Pelodiscus sinensis: one gene and its partner. The protein of the gene in region 1 binds, or shares a complex with, the protein of each later gene. Links are inferred from orthologs where the notes say so. Each region holds a gene or a part of one and is shown on either strand. Other genes may lie near its edges. The genes, in order: SPTLC1 and ORMDL3.

Region 1 (10,227 bases):
GTGTGTGTAGTGGGGTGACCAGGAATGGTGGAGGCAGGCTTCGTGCCGTCCTCCCAAGATTCATACCAAGGCTGCTTGCTCTTCCCTTTTCTGTCCTTGTCAGGAAGTGAGAGCTGAGTGCACAGTCTGTTTTCCCCTTGTGCTCCTCAGACAGTGAAGAATGCAGCAAATTGTGCACTTTACCCTCACCCCTGACGAAGGGGTATAGGTAATTCTGTGTAGACACACCCTAACAGACAGACTCTCTCAAATGTATTGCAGATAATATGTAGTAGCTTATAGTCTCAAATCATGCTAAATCAGTCTGCTCACAGAATGAAGTGAACAGTCATCTTCCTTTTCTTCCTGGTATCAGCAGGCAAGAGTTGTAGAACTTGAGATTCTAGTACTCTTTTTCTTTAGGCTTAAGTGTTTTTCCCACAGAATAACCTTCCATTATTACTGTGTGTTGGGGCATGCCTGCTTGGCTTGAGGCTGAGCTCTTAACTGAGTTAGGACACCATTTGTACTTGATGCTGACATCCTCTTGGCTGAATGCCAAACTCCCAGCTGAACTTGGTTATAGAATTTATAGGAAACCAATTAGATCATCCAGTCCTTCTCTCTGCCAGTGCAGGATTGCACCCTGTTGTTTTAATGCTTTTCTAGTTTAGTTCTAAAAGTCACACCTGATGTGGTTTCTGCCAATTCTTCTGGGAGGCTTCCAACATATTGTTAGGAACTATTAAAAAAGAGATAGACAGTAATTCAGAAAATATCGTAATGCCACTTTAGAAATCCATGATACACCCATACCTTGAATGAGATATGCAGTGCTTGTTGCCCCCATTTCAAAAAATATAATAGAACTGGAAAAGGTACAGAGAAGTGCAAAAAATGAGTAAGGATATGGATGAGATTTTGGGTGTCTCCCCCCACAGGGCTTAACTTGAAATAAGTTTCGCAAATTGAGCTATGTCAATTGCATAGCTTATTTTGAAATAGCTTATTTCAAAATTGGGAGAATCTACACAGCACTTATTTTGAAATAGAGTACTCTTCCTCCGACTTCCCTAACTCCTTGTACAATGAGGGTGACAGGAGTCGGAGTAAGAAGTCCTCCAGTTTGACAGTATTTCACAATTATTTTGAAATAACTTCCTACTGTGTAGACATGGACTAAGTTATTTGATAACGCTAGTTATTTCAAAATAATGTTGCTGTGTAGACATACCTTCTGTATGATGACCGGGACTGTTCATCTTTGAAAAGATACAATTAAAGAAAGATATGAAATTATGAACGGCATGGAGAAAATGAATATGCAAGTGGTATTTACCCCTTCACATAACATAAGAATCAGGGATGACCAAATGAAATTAATAGGCAGCAGGTTTGAAACAAACATAAGGAAATACTTCTTCATACAATGCAGTCAACCTGTAGATTTTATTGCCAGGGATGCTGTTAAAGTCAAAAGTATAATTGGGTTAAAAAAAGAATTAGATAAGTTCACAAAGGATAGGTCCATCAATGACTATTAGGCAATATGATCAGGGATGCAGCCATAGGCTCCAGGTGACCTTAAACCTCTGATTGCAAGAAGCTGGGACTGGATGACAGGGGTTGGATCACTCATTAATTGTCCTGTTCTGTTCATTCCCTCTGAAGCATCTGGCACTAAGGATATTAAATTGAGGTTATCTGGCTAATTGTGTAGTTGATACATATTGTATCGATTACGTGATGTGTCGATAAGGACCGCTCTGCAGAGCCACAGTGGGGGTAGCTCCAGGAGCCAGCTTGAGCTGGAATTGAGCAGTCCTGGCTCATGCCGGCTCCGGGAGCCACCAGCACTATGGCTCTGCACTTGAAATGTAGAGGTGCAGCATCCCAGATCAATGCGAGATTTGTTGTTGCTTTGCAGCAACCTCCCCTATCCTTCCTCAGACCTCTCCTCTCTCCCCGCTGGCTGTAATAGAGGCAGCAGGAGGCAGACAGAGCGGTACTGCAGAGACAGTGCTGGGGCGAAACCAACTTTTAAGCCAGCTCCCGCAACCACAAGGTCCTGTCTCCCCCACCTTGTTGCCTCTCTGTGAGCAAACTTAGGAGGACTGGCCATGTCATCAGAATGGAAGACCACTGTCTCCCAAAACAGATATTGTATGGGCAGCTGAATCTGGACAAATGAAAGGTTTTCCATATAAGCTCTTCAAAGATAATCTGAAGAGCAACGTGACACTCTATATAACTCGGGGGGGCACCTTGTATCCCCCCCTTATTCCCTATTTTGTATATAATTGCGATCTTGCATATAAAGCATGCCATGTACAATATTAGGGGAAAATTCATGAACAGCTGAAACCCATTGTTTTATCTAAATATATGTCTCTTTAGTAAAAGCAATAAGGAATCCAGTGGCACCTTAAAGACTAACAATTTTATTAGGGCATAAGGTTTTGTGAGTTGCAACTCACTGTGTCAGATACATGAAGTGAAAGAATCAGATGGTAGGGATACAGATTCTTTCACTTCATGCATGTGACAAAGTGAGTTGCAACTCATGAAAGCTTAAGCCCTAGTAAAATTGTTAATCTTTAAGTTGCCACTGGATTCCTTGTTGTTTTTGCTGAAACAGACTAACACAGCTACCTCTCTGAAACAAATCTTTGGTGCATATGAAGTTAGGAGATTGTGTTATATGATTGTCACTAAAATGTGCTATAAGTTGGGGAACCTGCCATATATTAGATCTTCAGAGACAACAGCAATTAAAGTAACCAACAATTGGGCAGGTGTCAGAACAGCCATTGAGGGAGCTACAATGTGATGACCAGTCTCCACCCCACCCCTTATGGAGCACGCGGTGTGGCACTCTAATGGCAATTCTAAAAGGCCCAGGAGTCCAGCAACTGCTGCTGCCACAGTAGCAGTGGTGGCAGCCACAAGCCCTGGGCCCTTGAGAATCACCAGGCCCTGGGGCAATTGTCCTCTTCACTCCCTCTGTTGATGAGCCTGGTGGAGTCATATCCATAGCATTCTATGAGAATTGCAACAATATTGTCATCATCATCAGTGATGGATTACCAATGTCATAGCAAATGTGGCATAACAGAACGCAACATATGTATCATTAACATTTTCATGTACAATTAAATCATTCTGCTACTTAGAACTGATTAAGTTGTGATAGAGAGACGTTGCAGTTTGAAGAGGGCCAAGGTTTATGGGAAGGGTGATGAGAGACGGTAAATAAATTTGGTTTTGTAAGTGCTTGTCAAGAAACATCTGGCACATTTATCAAACTGTGAAAAACAGAAATGAAAAGATTCTGCACAGTGTCCTTTTAGCCTTTCTGCCAAATACATTTACTCAAGAACAGTGTTCCCTCTAAGATTTTCCATCCATGAGCAGAGTGAGCTTTGTCAGCTGCACCAACAAGGTCATATGCACTTGTTCAGATGTGTGCCACTGTGGCAACCAATGGCGCTGTTCCCCAAGACTCTCTCCCAGGTAGTGCACCCCTGCCACGTGACCCTACCAGGCGCTGGCCGCTGGAGCACCCCAGACCCCCCACCATGCCGCCCCGGTTCTGGCCCCAATAGGGCCATCAGAACATCTGCCAGACCAGTTCTCTACCACATGGCTCCAGTTCTGGCCCCAGCTGCAGCTGCTGGAGCAGCCACTGCGTGCCTGTGACCCAGCTCTGGCCCTGGCCCCAGCTGGGACTGCTGAAGGAGCAACTGCCAGTCACCCGCCATGCAGCTCTGGCTCTAGCCCCAGATGCTGGAGTAGCTGCCACCCACCACGTGTCTCGCAGCTCCAGCTCTGGGGCCAGGCCTGCATGGTAGCTGCCCTACTGCTCCTTGGGCAGGGCAGCCTCACACCCCAGAACAGTTGAGCAGCCACTGTGCAGCTTTGGTGAGGAGGTGGGCGGGGCTCAAATTATTGGTGTGTTCCTGTGCAGGTGGCACCTTTGGGGGAACAATGCTCAATAACCAGTCATATAATTTTATATAACTTTTCTTGGAAGTTTAGTAATTACCCAATGTGTTCTAAATAAAAGAATTTTGTGACAATGAACAAAACTAATCCTAGAAACTGTTTTCAAGTATTTGCCCCAACGCCATGAAAAAGAAAGAAATAGTGTTCAGCGGGGCACAACTAGGTGGCTTGCAGGACATGGCACACGTTGCAGGCCTACGGCCACAGGGGGACCCAAATCCAGAGGTGAAAAGCAGCATGCCCCGGTGCAGGGCTCTGGCAAAAAGAAGGTGGGGCACTTGGCTGCAGAGGCTCCCAACCAGCTCCTGGAGCTCTCCTCCAGGATGCTTTGATAAGAAGCAGGCAACCAGACAGGTGAAAGGATCTGGCTGAAGGTGTGTGTCCCTCCTCCCCTGTTGATGGCTGCCCCAACTCCTAGACTTGACCTGCAGCCTTTAGAGGGGGGTTGCAGCTGCATGCACCTGGAACTCTGCTGCTTTTCTTCTTCCCCTATCAAGGAGAAAGTGTGCAGCTTGTGTGCCCAGATTCCTGCACTTCCTACATCCCCCCTGCCCTTATTCCTGAATGCCCCAAAACTTTCCTGCTCTGAGGACTCTCTCCTGCTTTACTCTAATCCTCTGCTTTGATCCTCTGACACTTAAATTTCTTACAGGTACTGTTGTATTGAACGCCGCCTCCCAACACTCTGCCCTCAACTTTTCCCTCCTCCCATGGTGCAATGCGTACTTAAGCATGGCTATCTCTTTGCTCTAGTTCTGGGATCAGGACAGTTGTGTTTTCTTCTTTCAATGCATAATATTTTCCCTCATCTCTGCTCTTCGTGTCTCTCCTGCACGTTGTCCTGTCACTGATTGGCAGCAGTAGCCCTGCTCGTACCCCTGTTCTGTCTTACACGCAGAGCTTCGTTATCCCCCTCTCTCACGCACGGGACACAGACTAAGGGACAGACCAGTGTTAACCATAAGGAGGAAGTTGGTTTATTGTAGACATTCAGTCACGAGGTTATTTAAATGAAAGAGGTGTATTGTGATGTGTCAGGGACTACGCAGAACTAGCGACACGCACGTAAAGCGGATCCAGCAGGGACTCGAGCCCCCTATTACAAACGAGGACAATGTATATTCCTCACAGCTCTTGACACCCGCCCTCGGCAGAAATTTGCACCGCTAGGACCCTGGGTCACGGCCCGGGTGCCCCCAGTGAAGGCGGGGCCGCTGCTCGCGCAGGTAAAGGCAGCAAACGCGGCCAGTTGCCGGCCCTGCCCAGTGCGCAAGAGGCGCTGCGCAGGCCTGTCGGCGAGCACGGAGGAGGCCAGGGGCCGATTTATGCCCGTGGGGCGCGCCGAGCGCAGCGGCGCTAGGACCCGCGCGCGCAGCGGCCAATGGCCCCGCCCCGCCTTCCCCTCCCCAGGTCCTTGCTTAACGACACGCGGGTTTCGGGGGCGCGGCGGGGAAGGGCGTGGTCACGGCTCAGTGACGTATCAGCGTCTCCCCCGGTTCTGCCTGCGCCGGCTGACGTCAGTGCGCGCCGCGGCCTGGAAGCGGCGCAGGCGATGGCGGCGGCGGGGACGGGGCAGCAGTGGGTGCTGGTGGAGATGGTTCAGGCCTTCTATGAGGTGAGACTCCCGCCCTGGGGAGCGGGCGCTGGTGGCACCGGCGGGGGCGCTGCTTTGGCCGAGAGCGCAGTAGCTCCCCGCCCCCCTGCTTCCTGGGGGGTGGGCAGGTCCTCTTAAGTTGCGCGGGTCTGGCAGCGGGGCACGCTGGGGGAGGGGCATGGAGGGTGGTGGTTGGGGCCCGGCTCAGGAATCTCCTTGGCGCTGGGGCATGGTGGGTTCGTGTAACTGATCTTAGGATCCTAGACCGCTAGAACTGGAAGGGATCTGGAGAGTCCAGTCCCCTGCCCTCATGGCAGGACCTGGTGCCATCTAGACCCTCCCTGATAGACCTTTATCTAACCTGCTCTTAAATATCTCCAGAGATGGGGATTCCACACCCTCCCGAGGCAACTTATTCCAGTGTTTAACCACCCTGACAGTTAAGAAGTTTTTCCTAATGTCCAACCTAAGCCTTCCTTGCTGCAGTTTAAGCCCACTGCTTCTTGTCCTATCCTCAGAGGCCAAGGAGAACAATTTTTCTCCCTTCTCCTTGTGACACCCTTTTAGATACCAAAGACCCTATCATGTCCCCTCTCAGTCTTCTCCTTTCCAAACTAAACAAGCCCAGTTCTTTCAGTCTTCCTTCATGGGTCATGCTTTTTAGATCTTCAATCATTCTTGTGCTCCTCTTTGGACCTTCTCCAATTTCTCCACAACTTTCTTGAAATATGGTGCCCAGAACTGGACACAGTACTCCACTTGAGGCCTAATCAGCGCATCTACTCTGATTAGGCTTCAAGTGGAAGAATGAGTACTCGTATTTTACTCACAACACTCCTGTTAATGCATCCCAGAATTATGATTGGTTTTTTTGCAACAGTCACACTGTTGACTCATATTTAGCTTGTGGTCCACTCTAGCCCTTAGATCCCTTTCTTCAGTATTCCTTCCTAGACAGTCGCTTCCCATTCTGTATGTGTGAGACTGATTGTTCCTTCCTAAGTGGAGTACTTTGCATTTGTCTATATGAAACTTCATCCAATTTACTTCAGACCATTTCTCCAATTTGTCCAGCTCATTTTGAGTTATCCTCCAAAGTAGTTGCAACCCTGCAAACTTAATAAGCATGCTCTCTATCCCAATATCTAAATCGTTGATGAAGATATTGACTAGAACCGGTCCAAAACAGACCCCTGCAGAACCCCACTTGTTATGCCCTTCCAGCAGGATCGTGAACTGTTAATAACTACTGTGAGAGTGATTATTCAGCCAGTTATGCACCCATCTTATAGTAGCCCCATCTAAGTTTTATTTGCCCAGTTTATTGATAAGCAGGGCTCAACAAATAATGCAAGCTACTCGCCTGTGGTGAGTAGATTGCAACCTGGAAGAGCCGGGTTTGGGCGATCTGTGCATGCGCAGAAGGATCTGCACATTCACAGATCACCGGACAGCGTGGCTGGCAAGCGGGGCTCGCTGTGGTTCAGCGAGCCCTATTGATAAGAATATCATGTGAGACTGTATCAAGTGCCTTACTAGAGTCTAGGTATACCATATCCACTGCTTCTCCCTTATCCACAAGACTTCTTATCCTGTCAAAGAAAGCTATCAGATTGGTTTGAAATGATTTGTTTTTTATAAATCCATGCTGGTTGTTCCCTATCACCTTATTATCTTCCAGGTATTTGCAGATAAATTCCTTAGTAACTTACTCCATTATCTTTCCTGGCACAGAAATTTAACTGACTGATCTGTAGTTTCCTGGTCTGTTCTTCTCTTTTTATAGATGGGCACTATATTTGCCCTTTTCCAGCCTTCTGGAATTTCCCCTGTCTTCCATGATTTTTCAAAGATAACTAAAAGCTCAGATCTCTATCAGTTCTTTGAGTATTCTAGGATGCATTTTATCAGGCCCTAGTGACTTGCAGACATCTAACTTTTCTAAGTGATTTTTAACTTGTTCTTTTTTTATTATTATTATCTTCTAAACCTACCTCTTCCCCACTAGCATTCACTGTTAGGCATTCCTTCATCATCAGACTTCTTGGTAAAGACGAAACAAAGAAGTAATTAACCTCTTCCATTTCCAAGTTTCTTGTTACTGTTTCTCCCTCCTCACTGAGCAGTGGGACTACCCTGTCCTTGGTCTTCCTCTTGCTTCCAATATATTTATAGAATCTTGTCTTGTTTCTCTTTGTCTGTAGTTAGTTTGAGCTTGTTTTGTATCTTTGCTTTTCTAATCTTTTCCCTGCATACCTGCATTGTTTATATTCATCCTTTGTAATTTGTCCTAGTTTCCACTCTGACTCCTTTTTTATTTTTAGATCATGCAAAATCTCCTGGTTAAGTCAAGGTGACCTTTTGCCGTACTTCCTGTCTTTCCTATGCAGCGGAATAGCTTGTTTTTGGGCCCTTAATAATGTCCCTTTGAAAAACTGGCAACTCTTGTCAGTTGTTTTTCCCTTTAGTCTTGCTTCTCATGGCTCTACCAGCTCTCTGAGCTTACCAAAATCTGCCTTCCTGAAATCCATTGCTTTGCCCACAGGGAATTGGGCAGTGAACCAGTCTAAGGGTGCGATAGCTGGCGATCAGTGCCCTGGCTCACTTCTTGGAGATGTAAGCAGGGCTCAGAGAAGAACAAATTGAATGAGTAGTGGCTTGGAGATACACTAACAGTAGATCAGGAATGCCCTGATCCAAGTACAAGGTGACATTCAGCCAAATTAAAAAGCAAGAAATTTGCAACTAATAAAAGGACTTCTTGTCTTATTAGCAATATGCATGTTTAGTTGGTTAGCAATATGCATGTTTAGTTGGTTAAGTGGTAGAGGCTGCCTCTTCAGCTGGGCTGGTACAGCACCTGCTTGTAGCAGGCCAGTGCACCCCATAAGCAGGGAGCTGTATTGGTGTCCTGGCCATACCAAGCTCTGTCCATGGCTTGTGCAGTTGCCCTGCAGGTAGGGTCTGCTCCTGCTGGGATGCCGTGGTAGTCCCTGCCTATGGGGCACTCTGGCCTTCCAGGTGCAGGGGCTGCCTAGAGGAGAGGGCCATGCTGCAGCTGGGCTAGAGTGGCCCCTCCCACCTTCACCCCCTTTAATCAGTAACAATATTTTTATTATTTTTACATCCCTATTTTTTTATATGACCTGTCATTTGACTGTGGAACTTGCTACCATAGGATACAGAGGCAGCAGCACAGAGTGGAAGGCAGTGACTCAGGAGTGAGGCTGGAATATACTGGCTGCTGGCCCCACCCCTAGGGACTATAGAATAGTCAACTAACCGATAAGAATTCATGAAGTTACTCAACTATTCAATTAACTGATATTTAACATCCCAATCAGAGACTGGATGCTGGAGTAGATGTAGGTGGGGTCTGATCTGGAATAGCATTTGCTATATTCCTATATTGACAAACTATGCATAGTTTGTCATGTCAAAGATAAAGCATAGTGACAGTTGTGTCTCGAGGTAAATCTAGTATCCATCTATGGTCAGATTTTACATTCACCTTTAGCACATGGTATAAATTCTCATCAGTATTATTGACCAGTTCTGACTTGGAGATGGCTTGCTGCAAATTGTGACTTATTTCTGCTGTTACATACTATGTTATGTTTTGGTGTCCACTATTTCTACCACATTTATTTTTTGAGGCAGAAATCTACTGTTTTAGTAAGTCTCTTGTCTTATTACCTCCACACTTAGTTTACATGTTGGTACTATTATTGAAAGGCAAAGATTTATTTATTCATACTCTGAATATTTTTTTCTCTCAAGATGGATTCGTTGTCGTTTATGCTAATGGCAAAAATGGATACTTATTTCAGAGTTTTTAAAACAGGCATTTCTGTCTTGTAGATCCTGATGTCTTGGTTGCTGCTTCATAGGAAAAGGTGTTGCTCTGATCTCTTCCATCCCCCACACAATTTAGGGGGTGACCTACTTCCAGTATGGAGTCTTATTTGAGTTACCTAGTAGATCAAACAGTGATGCAGCAGCAACTCTGACATTGATGGCATTTTTTGGTTGGTCTCTCTCTGTTCCTACATCTTGGTCATTTAACACGGTTCTTAAACACCAGGGCTGTGTCTACACTGGGCCACTTATTCCGGAAAAGCAGCCACTTTTCTGGAATAAGCTGCGAGCTGTCTACATTGGCCCCTTGAATTTCCGGAAAAGCAGTGATGATCTACTGTAAGAAATCAGCTGCTTTTCCGGAAAAACTATGCTGCTCCCGCTCGGGCAAAAGTCCTTTTTTCGGAAAACTGTTCCGGAAAAGGGCCAGTGTAGACAGCACAGTACTCTTTTCCGCAAAAAAGCCCCGATCACGAAAATGACGATCGGGGCTTTTTTCCGGAAAAACGTGTCTACATTGGCCACGGACGCTTTTCCGGAAAAAGAGCTTTTTCCGGAAAAGCATCCTGCCAATGTAGACGCTCTTTTTCCGGAAATACTTATAACGGAAAACTGTTCCATTTTAAGCATTTCCGGAAATTCATGCCAGTGTAGACGTAGCCCAGTAGATTACAAGTGGAAAGATACGTTGCCAGTGATGCACACTGTGTAACACGTTTCACTTGGAAGGGTCTGCTTGCAAAGCTGATCCTTAATTGTCTAGCTTTAAAAAAAATCTGATTCTCTTCTCC
Region 2 (10,016 bases), on another chromosome or scaffold:
CTATAGTCCCTGGGGGCGGGGCCAGTAGCCAGTGCACCTCACTCCCCAGGAGCCACCTGCCACTCCATGCTGCTGCCGCTGTATCAGAGGCAGCAGCACGGGGTGCCAGGCAGGAGCTGGTCTGTGAAGGGAGCCAGGTTAAAAATCTGCTCTGGTCACGATCCGGCTGCCTGTCACCCTGTGCTATCGCCTCTGATAGAGGCAGCAATGGCAGCAGCCCTTGTCGGGGGTGGGGGTCTGAGCTACCAGACCTGGCACAAGCTGGAACTGAGCAGGGCTGTCTGTCTGCCCAGCTCCTAATACACTTTAAATGCAGAGCTGCAGCCAGGGTAGGTCCCGGTATGAGCCAGGACTGAGCCGAGCTGCTGGCCAGCTTGCTATAGAATTCACTGGGGGGGAGGGAAGGGAAATGCGTGTAGTCTCTAGCATTAACCTATAAGCTTTTGCTTATCGGGTAATCGACTCCACTATTACACCCCTAATAGGAGTGAGCAGACACGGGGGGATGCAGTGGGGGAAATCAGGTGTGGGATGTGCTGGGAGGTGCTTTCCAGACTGATTGGAAGAGAACACACTAGAGACCAACTCCACCGGGTAGCAAGGAGGAGAGTCTAGGGGGTTTTTGGGAGGGGGGGACTGGAACAGTAATTACTGGTCACACCCCATGCTCACACAAATGCTCTCCAATCAGGCACCGGACAGCCCCCCAAAGCAGCAGCAGCCCAGTTCGACAGGATGCCAAGGTTTCTCCAGAAAGGGGAAGTCGCTCACTCCTCCCCACGCAGCAACCAGCGGCAGTGCTGGACGAAGGGGGTGCCCCTCAGACCACACGGAAGCGCTCGGCTTCTGCCAGCGTCTCCCGTCCGCCCCCGTGCGCGCTCCTTAACGGGAGCGAGGGGCCTGAACTGAAAGCTACAAGCAGGACCGACTCTGGAGTCGCAACTTGCAGCTTCCCAGTCCCGTTTCCAGAACGCATCGTCCGACCGATCCTGAGCAATGTCCGGGTCCAGCCTCGGGGGGTGCCAAGGGAGAAGGGCACCCATCTGGGGTGCTCTTGCTGGAACACGGTTTGCTACAGCAAACACTGACTCAGACTTTTGAGGGGAGCTGGCTGGCATCGCTCGCATCACCCCCCCTCTGATTACCTGAGCCACCTAAGAGATGTTTATGGGGCCCACAGTCACTTCTGGAGGCTGGACTTTCCAGCATAGAATGATCTCATGGAACAGGAGGGGCTCCCCCATTAAAGCTACCAGCAGCTTGAGTTTCCCCTTAGAAACAGCAACATGGCTGCAGAACAGTATTGTTTAGCCATGCTGTGGTAGCATTTAGGAGCCACAGGCCTGGGTCAGCACCAGACCCTGTGGTGCTTGGAGCTGTACAAGCACAAAATAAAAATGGCTCCTGCCTCAAAAAGTTGGCAACCTAAGGGAGGTGAAGATTGCAGGCCGAGGTGGGCAATTGTTTTCATGGAAGGGGGGGGGGGGGAATTCACAAATTTTGGTATGTAATCGCAGGCCACCTCTGCCCCCCCTTGAAGGGGCGGGGCTTTGGGTGGAAGGGCTGGGGCTAGAGAGAGTGTGTGTGTGACATTTTATGTGTGAGAAATAGACTTTCTGACACAGATTGAGTACGTGCGGCAAAGGGACAGGAAAGTATGCGTGGCAGTGTGGATGTGACAGTGATTGTGTGGGGGGGGGCACAGACTGGGAGTGGGTGCTGGCTAAGTTTGAGAGAAGCCACCTCTGTTTCTTTAAGGAAAATCTGTCCTAGTCTGCTGCCCGCCCCCTCACTGCTATTTCACAGGCTTGATTTGTACAACTCTGCTGACTGTGTGTCTCCATCTACAACCCCTGCTCTGCAGAAATGGGGTACAGGGGAGGGGAACACCCTGACTTCAGCCAGTTCCTGCACAGTTAGCAGGAAAATCCTGGGAGCCAGGTGGGAGGAGGGGCAGCCGAACACACACTGCCAGCTGTAAGTCTGCACCTCTGCTAATCAGCTGGGAAGGCCAGAGGGAAATACTTGGGGCCAGATCCAACCCCGGGGCCGGAGTCTGCCCACTCTTGTGGCAGGCTGTGCTGGAGAAGCATGCTCAAGAGGCAGGAGTGGGGGAGAGGAAGCACTTACCAGAGCCAGAAGTGAACTCCCTATAGGGGCTTCACATCCCAGCTGTCCAGCCTAGAGACTAAGTGAAGGTCCCACGGACAGAGCAGGCCTCCCCTGGGGATTTCCCACAGCTGCGCCCGCCCGAGATAGCTACTGCCAAGAAGCTGTGGGTATTACAGGCTGTTTGCCTGTAAGCTGCGGAAGGGCTCTGCTCTCCCCACCTCCTGCTCCCCCCCCCCCCCACCATTAACCTCTTTGTGACAATTCAGGGACCTGTCGCTGCCCAGCTGTGCAAGTTCATTCCACAATATTGCACAATAGGGAACCGCTGCCGGCGCAGGTTCCCTGCTCTAGCGGCACAACTGGATGGGATCTGATCTCAGGGCTCAGCTGAGAGGCTCTGGGTGACTCACTGAGGGGAGGACGAAGGGGGATGGGATACAGAGCCATTCACCTGGAGGTCACGGGTTCAAATCCAGCTCAGGCTGGCAGAGAAGTTGGACCTTTCTGGATCGAATGGAGGTGCCAGCCACAGGGGAGACCCCAAAGAGGCTGTCACAGGTAGGGACCAAAAGGCCTCAGTAGGTCAGTGATTGTGGGGGGATGGGGCTGGATTTGTAGGGGACTTCTCAGGACTGTATCTCTTCTGTGGAGAGCCTAGAACTGGGGCTAACTTGCCAGCAAGTCACCCCTCTCTGGAGACCAGCAGCCCCTCCTTCCATCACCCCCCCCAGAAAGCCGGAGATGCTGCCACTGACTGCGCAGAACGCTCTCAAATCTCCACCCCTCTCCTGCAGGGATCCCAGCTGTGTTTTGGCTTGTTGCTTTCCAGGCTCCCCCAAAGAGCCATGGTTCCTCTGGGGACCTTCCTTGTGCTGCCTGCAGAGTTTGGTAAAAGGCAGCCTGGAAGCTCCAGCTCCTACCCCCGCCCTAAACCCTCAGCTCGACACAGCAAGCCACTCTGGAGCGCTGAGATACGGTCCAAAGGCCTAACACCAGACATGCACAAAAAAACAGCCAAAGGTCGCGGTGCCCTGGCAGGCTTCCCAGCCTCCCCCCACCCAGTAGGCACTGCTCTCCCAGCCGGCTTTCCAACATCTCGTGGCAGGTTTCCCAGAACTGCCCCCATTCCAGCTCCATTGCCCAGAATCCAGCACCCCCACTCTCTCTTAGCCCCCTGCTCCTTCCCTTCCATCACTGGGACTTCTCCCAAGCCTGGCACCCCAACACCCTTGCCTCTCCCATCTGCTCCCCACAAAGCCTACACTGCTCTGCCCTGGTTCCCCACATGTCCCTGCAACCCTCTACTCCAATTCCCCCCCGCAGTTCCTTCCCCTCCCAGGTCCCCGAATCACTGGATTCTCCCCACCCCTTAGTCTCCTGCATCTCCCAGGGCCCCCCCAGTTTCCCTTCCCCTCCCAGGTCCCTGCACACCCTTCCCCAATACCCCCCCCCCCAGTCCCTTCCTCCCTTTGCCCCCAGTCTCCCTTCCCCTCCCAGGTCCCCCCAAGTCCCTGCAGCCCCTTAGCCCCACATCCCTTCCCCTTCTGTATCCCCCCCAGGTCCCTTCCCCTTCTGGGTCCTCCCACAACCCTGCACCCCTTTGTCTCCAGATCCCTTCCCCTCCTGGGTACCCCCAGGTCTCTGCACCCCTTTGTCTCCAGATCCCTTCCCCTCCTGGGTACCCCCAGCTCTCTGTACCCCTTTGTCTCCAGATCTCTTCCCCTTCTGGGTCCCCTAGGTCTCTGCACCCCCCTTGTCCCCAGATCTCTTCCCCTCCTGGGTACCCCCAGGTCTCTGCACCCCCTTGTCCCCAGATCTCTTCCCCTCCTGGGTACCCCCAGGTCTCTGCACCCCCCTTGTCCCCAGATCTCTTCCCCTCCTGGGTACCCCCAGGTCCCTTCCTCTTTCGGCTCCCCCCGAGGCCCCTGCACCCCTTTGCCTCCAGGCCCCCCCAGGTCCCTTCCCCTGCCGGCTCCCTGCACCCCCCAAGTCCTCTTCTAGGTCCTTGTGCCCCCCGCACGCCCCAGCCCCTGCTCACCGCGCAGCCGGCTCTCGGCCCGCCGCCCCGGGCTCGCCGTGGGGGTCTCTCCCCGCCGCCCGGCTCCGCTCCCCGCCGCCGCTGAAGACAACACAGCAGCTGGAGGCCCCGCCCGCGCGCCCCAGCAACCCACGCGGCCGCGGGGCGCCCTGGGAAATGTAGTTCCTCCGGGTTGGCCGGGACTCCCACATGTCCCATGGCTCCAGGCCGGGCTGCGCCGCTCCGCGTCCCCTGCCGCGCCGCTCGCTGCCCTGTGGTTATCATGAGTCTTTCGTGTTCTCCTTCATTTTAGTATTTCCCCGTGCATGGGTTCCCATTCTCTGATTTTTTTTTTAATTAAAACCACGAGGACTCCTGAGGCAACTTAAAGACCAACAGATTTATTTTGGAAAACCTTAAAAAACAACAAATGGTCCGGTAGCACTTTAAAGACTAACAAAACATGAGCTTTCGTGGGCACAGCCCACTTCTTCAGATGACCAGAGTGTTGGAAGTCCAGGAACAAGAATAAATAAGGGAAGGAGGGAGGAGGAGTGGAGGGAAGGAACAAAATTGGAGGGGGGCTGGTAGATAAGTTTCAAAGGGATAGCCCAGCCAGTCCGTAACAGGAAAAACTTAAAAAACAGTTAAATAGTTAAAAGAGGCTGATAAGAACCATTCGTTTGCACTAGGAAAGGAAGAGTGTTTTGGCAGCTGCTTTTGTGGGCAAAACCCCCACACCATCAGATCCGACTTGCCCACGAAAATTTATGTCTAAATAAATCTGTTAGTCTTTAAGGTGCTGCAGGACTCCTCATTGTTTTAATAAAAAAATAATCAGAGAATGGGAACCCATTTTGTTTTTGCAGCTCCAGACTAACATGGCCTCCTCTCTGATCTTTTATTGTGTGCACGCACCTCCGTGATTCTCTTGTGACTTGTCAGCCTCCCACGCTTGGCCTTTTATTGCGTTATGGTTTGCTGACCATCAGCAGCATGCCCGCCGCTGCACGGTACGCACTTTAGGCCAGCAAAAAGCTACAATCCTGATCTTATGCCCACATCACTTTCATAGAATCATAGGACTGAAAGAGACCTCAGGAGTCATCAAGTCCAGCCCCTGCCCAAAGCAGGACCAATCTCAACTAAATCATCCCAGCCAGGGCTTTGTTAAACTGAGACCTAAAAACCTCTAGGGATGGAGATTCCACCACCTATCATGAATCCCTTGAAATCATTGTAGTAGTAAAAACAACAAGGAGTCCTATGGCATCTTACAGAGTAATTTATTAAGACATACGTTTTCGCGGGCTGGACCCCACTTTGTCAGATGCAAGTAATCTTTAAAGTGCCACAGCCCCATTAGTTTTGCTGAAACAGAGTAACACGGCTACCCCTCTGAAATTTGTAGTAAAGTTAAGCATGGGAATAAATGCTTGCAGAACTGGAAGTGGAAGTGTGTACTTAATAAGATGGTGTGTCAGTAAACATACAGAATTCAGTGGGGCTGCCCCCATGCTACAAGGGGCAGCGGCAAAAACAGTCTTTGCCCTGAAGAGCGTACATGGTCTGTGAGCTCAGTCCTGCAAACGCTCATCTCTTTACTCACAAGAGCCAGACTGGAGCCTGCATTGGGTGGAGCCCGTTCCCAGATGGCCCTCAGCTAAAATCAAATGGGGCTCTATGCAGTTATGAGGCTCCAGCTGCAGGAATGAGAAATCAAGTGAGTAAAGAAGTCCACAAGTAATGCACATTGGAAAAATAACCCCAAGTATACATACAATATGATGGGCGCTAATTTAGCTACAACTAATCAGGAAAGAGATCTTGGAGTCATTGTGGATAGTTCTCTGAAGACGTCCACGCAGTGTGCAGCAGCAGTCAAAAAAGCAAACAGGATGTGAGGAATCATTAAAAAATGGATAAAGAATAAGACGGAGAATATCTTATTACCCTTCTATAAATCCACGGTACGCCCACATCTGGAATACTGCATACAGATGTGGTCTCCTCATCTCAAAAAAGATATACTGGCATTAGAAAAGGTTCAGAGAAAGGCAACTAAAATGATTAGGGGTTTGGAATGGGTCTTATATGAGGAGAGATTAAAAAGATTAGAGCTTTTCATCTTGGAAAAGAGGAGACTAAGGGGGGATATGATAGAGGCATATAAACTCATGAGTGGTGTGGAGAGCATGAATAAGGAAAAGTTATGTACTTGTTCCCATAATATAAGAACTAGGGTCCGCCAAATGAAACTAATGGACAGCAGGTTTAAAACAAATAAAAGGAAGGTCTTCACACAGCGCACAGTCAACCTGTGGAACTCCTTGCCTGAGGAGGTTGTGAAGGCTAGGACTATAACAAGGATTAAAAAAGAACTAGATACATTCATGGAGGTTAGGTCCATTAATGAGTGGGTAAGGAATGGTGTCCCTAGCCTCTGTTTGTCAGAGGGTGGAGATGGATGGCAGGAGAGAGATCACTTGATCATTACCTGTTCAGTAATTGACCACTGTTAATTAGACAGGAGACTGGGCTGGATGGACCTTTGGTCTGACCCAGTGTGGCCGTTCTTATGTTCACATTGCAAAGACGCAGCAATTGTGATATAAGCTGAAGGTAGGCAGGGTAAGGCAGCTGTTGACAGAAGGGTGGTGGTGTGGCTTAAACGGGTGTACTTGAGCGGGGCCACGATGCAGCCCCAGTTGGGCCCTGCCCCCACCAGCTTCCCTTGGGCTAGAGCTGACACCAGCTGAATGTAGGGTAGATAAGGCATCAGTCTCTGGACTGTGGGGTTGTGGCCCTGGCAGCCACCACCCCTTGCCCTGGCTGGAGCTGGCATCTGCTAAAGGTGGGGTGGTCCCACCAGTGGGGGGTCTAGGATGGAGATTGTGTGTAGAAGGGCACATGGGGTAAAGGACTGGGATGCAGAAGGCAGGCTGCTGAGGGTAGGAAGTAGAGCATGGGGAGGTGGCGTGAGATGGGTTACCTTACCTGGCTGAGGCTGGGCTACCTGCGCAGCATGAGCTGGATGAAAAGCAGGGCCAGGATCGCCACAGGCGGAGCATGGCCTCCCCCCCTACCCATGCTGCAGCAGAAGGGGTGCCACCTGCAGCCACACGGGGGCCAGACTGGGGCAGTCAGATGGGGGTTGGTGCTGGGCCAGAAGCCAGATGGAGGTATCTGCTGCCGCCCGCCCCTCTCGTTGTCCCAGGTTGGAGTGTGCCCTCCGCTGGCCCTTGAAAGGAACAGAGTGCCCCAGCCGGCTCTTACCCGGGCACAGCGCCTCCCTTTCACCTCTGGGTCAAGGGAAAATAGACCAAAAAAGCCCCTCTTGACCTGAGTTATTGTCCCTGTTTCAAATTTTGAATTAATTTTTCATTTTAAAGAACTCATCGCCCCTCTCTTAAGAGTGGGGGGTTGACCTGGGGGCGTTTGGTCAAACTTTCCCTCCCCATCCCGCAGGTTTGTGCGAGTTGGCTGTTGGCCTCCACCCCCGAGGTGGCTGCATTTCAGTCCCGCCATGTACACGCTGTCTGTACAGCCCTTTGGAATCCTATGGAATTAGGTGTGCTATAACAACAGGAAATAATTAACATAAGCTGTTAATAGAAATAATAATTGCAGGTAATTTAGTGTTCTACCAGCTGTGGCTGTGATCCAGAAAGCACTTAAGCATGCCCCTTATTTTTAAACCAACGAGAAGTTCTGTTGACCTCCCTTGAACTGCTCACGTGCTTAACGTTAAGCAGGTGCTTAAATGCTTTGCAGGGCCAGGGTCTGAGACTGTGTGTGTGAAATAACCATTCACTAACCAGTGGCACTGTGCCACCCCTGTCCAACAATCCTGCAATTTACAGTCGGATGCACTATGGCATCTTTGGGCCAAGGTCGGGAGCTTGTCTCCACTCTGAATTCTGCTAAAAGGGAGCCCGTCTGAGCCCTGCATTAATAATCAGCAATTAATGGTGCTAAATAATCAGAACTAAGCACCTTGGAGCTAAAGTCCAGCAATAGGCGTATTCTTTTGCATGTTTTGTGCGGCTTGTGAGCTTTTCCCACCAAGCAGCAGCAGAGGGTGCCAGGCTGTTAAATGTCTGACAGAGATGCAGTTCATCTGGAGAACAGGTTTCCAAATAACAGCCTGGCACCCCCTGCTGCTGCTTGGTGGGAAAAGCTTACAAGACGCACAAAGCATGCAAAGGTCTATGCCTATTGTGAGGGATACGATCGAGGTTTATAAAATCATAACTGGTGAGGAGAAAGTGAGTAAGGAAAAGTTATTAACTTGTTATAAGAAGTAGGGGTCACCAAATGAAATGAATAGGTAACAGGCGTAAAACAAATGAAAGGACCTTTTTCTTCACACAGTGTACAGTCGACCTGTGGAACTCCTCGCCAGAGGATGTTGTGAAGGCCAGGATTTTAACAGGGATCAAAAAAGAACTAGAGAAATTTATGGAGCTTAGGTCCATCAATGGCTATTAAGCAGGATGAGCAGGAGTGGTGTCCCTAGCCTCTGTTTGTCAGAGGCTGGAAATGGATGACAGGAAAAGGATCATTTGATGATTCCCTGTTCTGTTCACTCCCGCTGGTGCACGTGGGAGACAGGGCACCGGGTTAGATGGATCTTTGGTCTGACCCAGTGTGGCCGTTCTTATGTCCTTACTATTCCAGCCCTACGCTCCTGCACACTGGGCTGTCAGTCCCCTTCCGCCCCTACTTACTGAATTTCATTTCAGCCCAATTTTTCATCTGTTCTTTTTTTTTCCACCCTCACTGTGCAAAAATTAGCCACAGACACTTTGTTCTCTTGGACTGGAGTTCAAGCAGCAAGAACAACAACATGGCGAGCTTGCTGCTGGTGATCTGAATGAAAGTCATTGAGGTTTTCCTGGGCTAGCCCCAGAAATCAATGCAGATCTGCACTTGACAACTCAGCTGCTTTCTGCCGTATCCTAGCCCCGCTACTGCTGAGTTGGAGCCCCCAGTCACGCTCTCAGGAACACATGCAAGGTGTGGCTTGGTCACAGAGAGATGGGTCGTTCCTTGTCGTTTGTCACCTGGCTGTCAGCCGGAGTGATGTTAGCAACCTGTGCCAAACTAGCCAGCCTGTTGACAGGGAGCCGGGGTTAATTTAGGGTTGTGTGTGAGAAGAGTGTGTGTGGCTACGTTAGCGTGTGTGTATGGGAGTAAATTACATTTATGTGGGTGTACGAGACAGCCTCAGCGCACTAGGCGTGCGAGTGAATATGCGTGCGAGTATGGTGCCTATGTGTGCGCGTGCAAATCCGCGTGTTTACGATTGTGTGAATGTGTGTTCTTGTGTGACAGCCCAGCTCTTTCCACCGCATTAATCACACTCGACGTGGCCATTTTGACCTGGGAGATTTTTTTTTAACAATTGCCTAATTACCATCCCGCCCCCCCCGGCATGATTAACCTGTAGCATCTTCCATGACACCACAATTTAGTGCTGCCTGGGTGGGTGTTTTTTTGGGGCATGTGGGCAACTCTTCACTGAGACCCACAAAACTCTCACCGCTGCTTCACTGAAGTGCCAGGCAATGGACCAACGATTCTGGAGCCGTGACAGTGCCATCTCCAGCAGCTGTCCTCGCTCCGCAACCCCAGTGGCCCCTCCACCCCACTTACTGTGAATTTCATGACAGCTGGCATGCAGCGCCTCCAGCTGAGCTCAGGGGCTTGTTACACTAGGCGGGTAGGATTCGCAATGAGCATCAGTCCCTGCCATAAAGAGTTTACAGCAAGACTAGACAAAAGGCAGGAAGGGAAACTGAGGCCCAAAACTTGCCAAGGGTCGTGCAGCAGGTCAGTTGCAGGGCTGGCATACAGCTCCCCTGCTCTGTACGGCAGGACCATG

What was found.
Region 2: the proteins of SPTLC1 (region 1) and ORMDL3 are in contact, whole or in part, in a cryo-EM structure (PDB 7K0N), measured with the Homo sapiens proteins. The link is inferred for Pelodiscus sinensis from reciprocal best matches to the Homo sapiens genes SPTLC1 and ORMDL3. Residues at the interface, in NP_006406.1 of Homo sapiens: Ala16, Leu17, Ala20, Pro21, Tyr23, His24, Leu27, Glu28, Leu31, Ile32, Trp34, Ile35, Leu38, Leu39, Ser41, Lys42, Thr43, Tyr44, Lys45, Leu46, Gln47; in NP_001307730.1 of Homo sapiens: Gly92, Val93, Gln94, Phe95, Thr96, Ala97, Lys100, Thr103, Ile104, Ile107, Tyr110, Phe111, Ser114, Tyr119, Gln121, Phe124, Thr128, Leu131, Met132, Leu139, Pro140, His143.

What each region holds. Positions count from the first base shown.
Region 1 is NC_134716.1:49,112,149-49,122,375, reverse strand, and holds the start of SPTLC1 (serine palmitoyltransferase 1), read left to right. Parts: upstream 1-5,350; 5' UTR 5,351-5,365; coding exon 5,366-5,599; intron 5,600-10,227. UniProt on the Homo sapiens protein: Component of the serine palmitoyltransferase multisubunit enzyme (SPT) that catalyzes the initial and rate-limiting step in sphingolipid biosynthesis by condensing L-serine and activated acyl-CoA (most commonly palmitoyl-CoA) to form long-chain bases.
Region 2 is NC_134739.1:11,201,964-11,211,979, forward strand, and holds the start of ORMDL3 (ORM1-like protein 3), read right to left. Parts: upstream 4,299-10,016; 5' UTR 4,151-4,298; intron 1-4,150. UniProt on the Homo sapiens protein: Plays an essential role in the homeostatic regulation of sphingolipid de novo biosynthesis by modulating the activity of the serine palmitoyltransferase (SPT) in response to ceramide levels.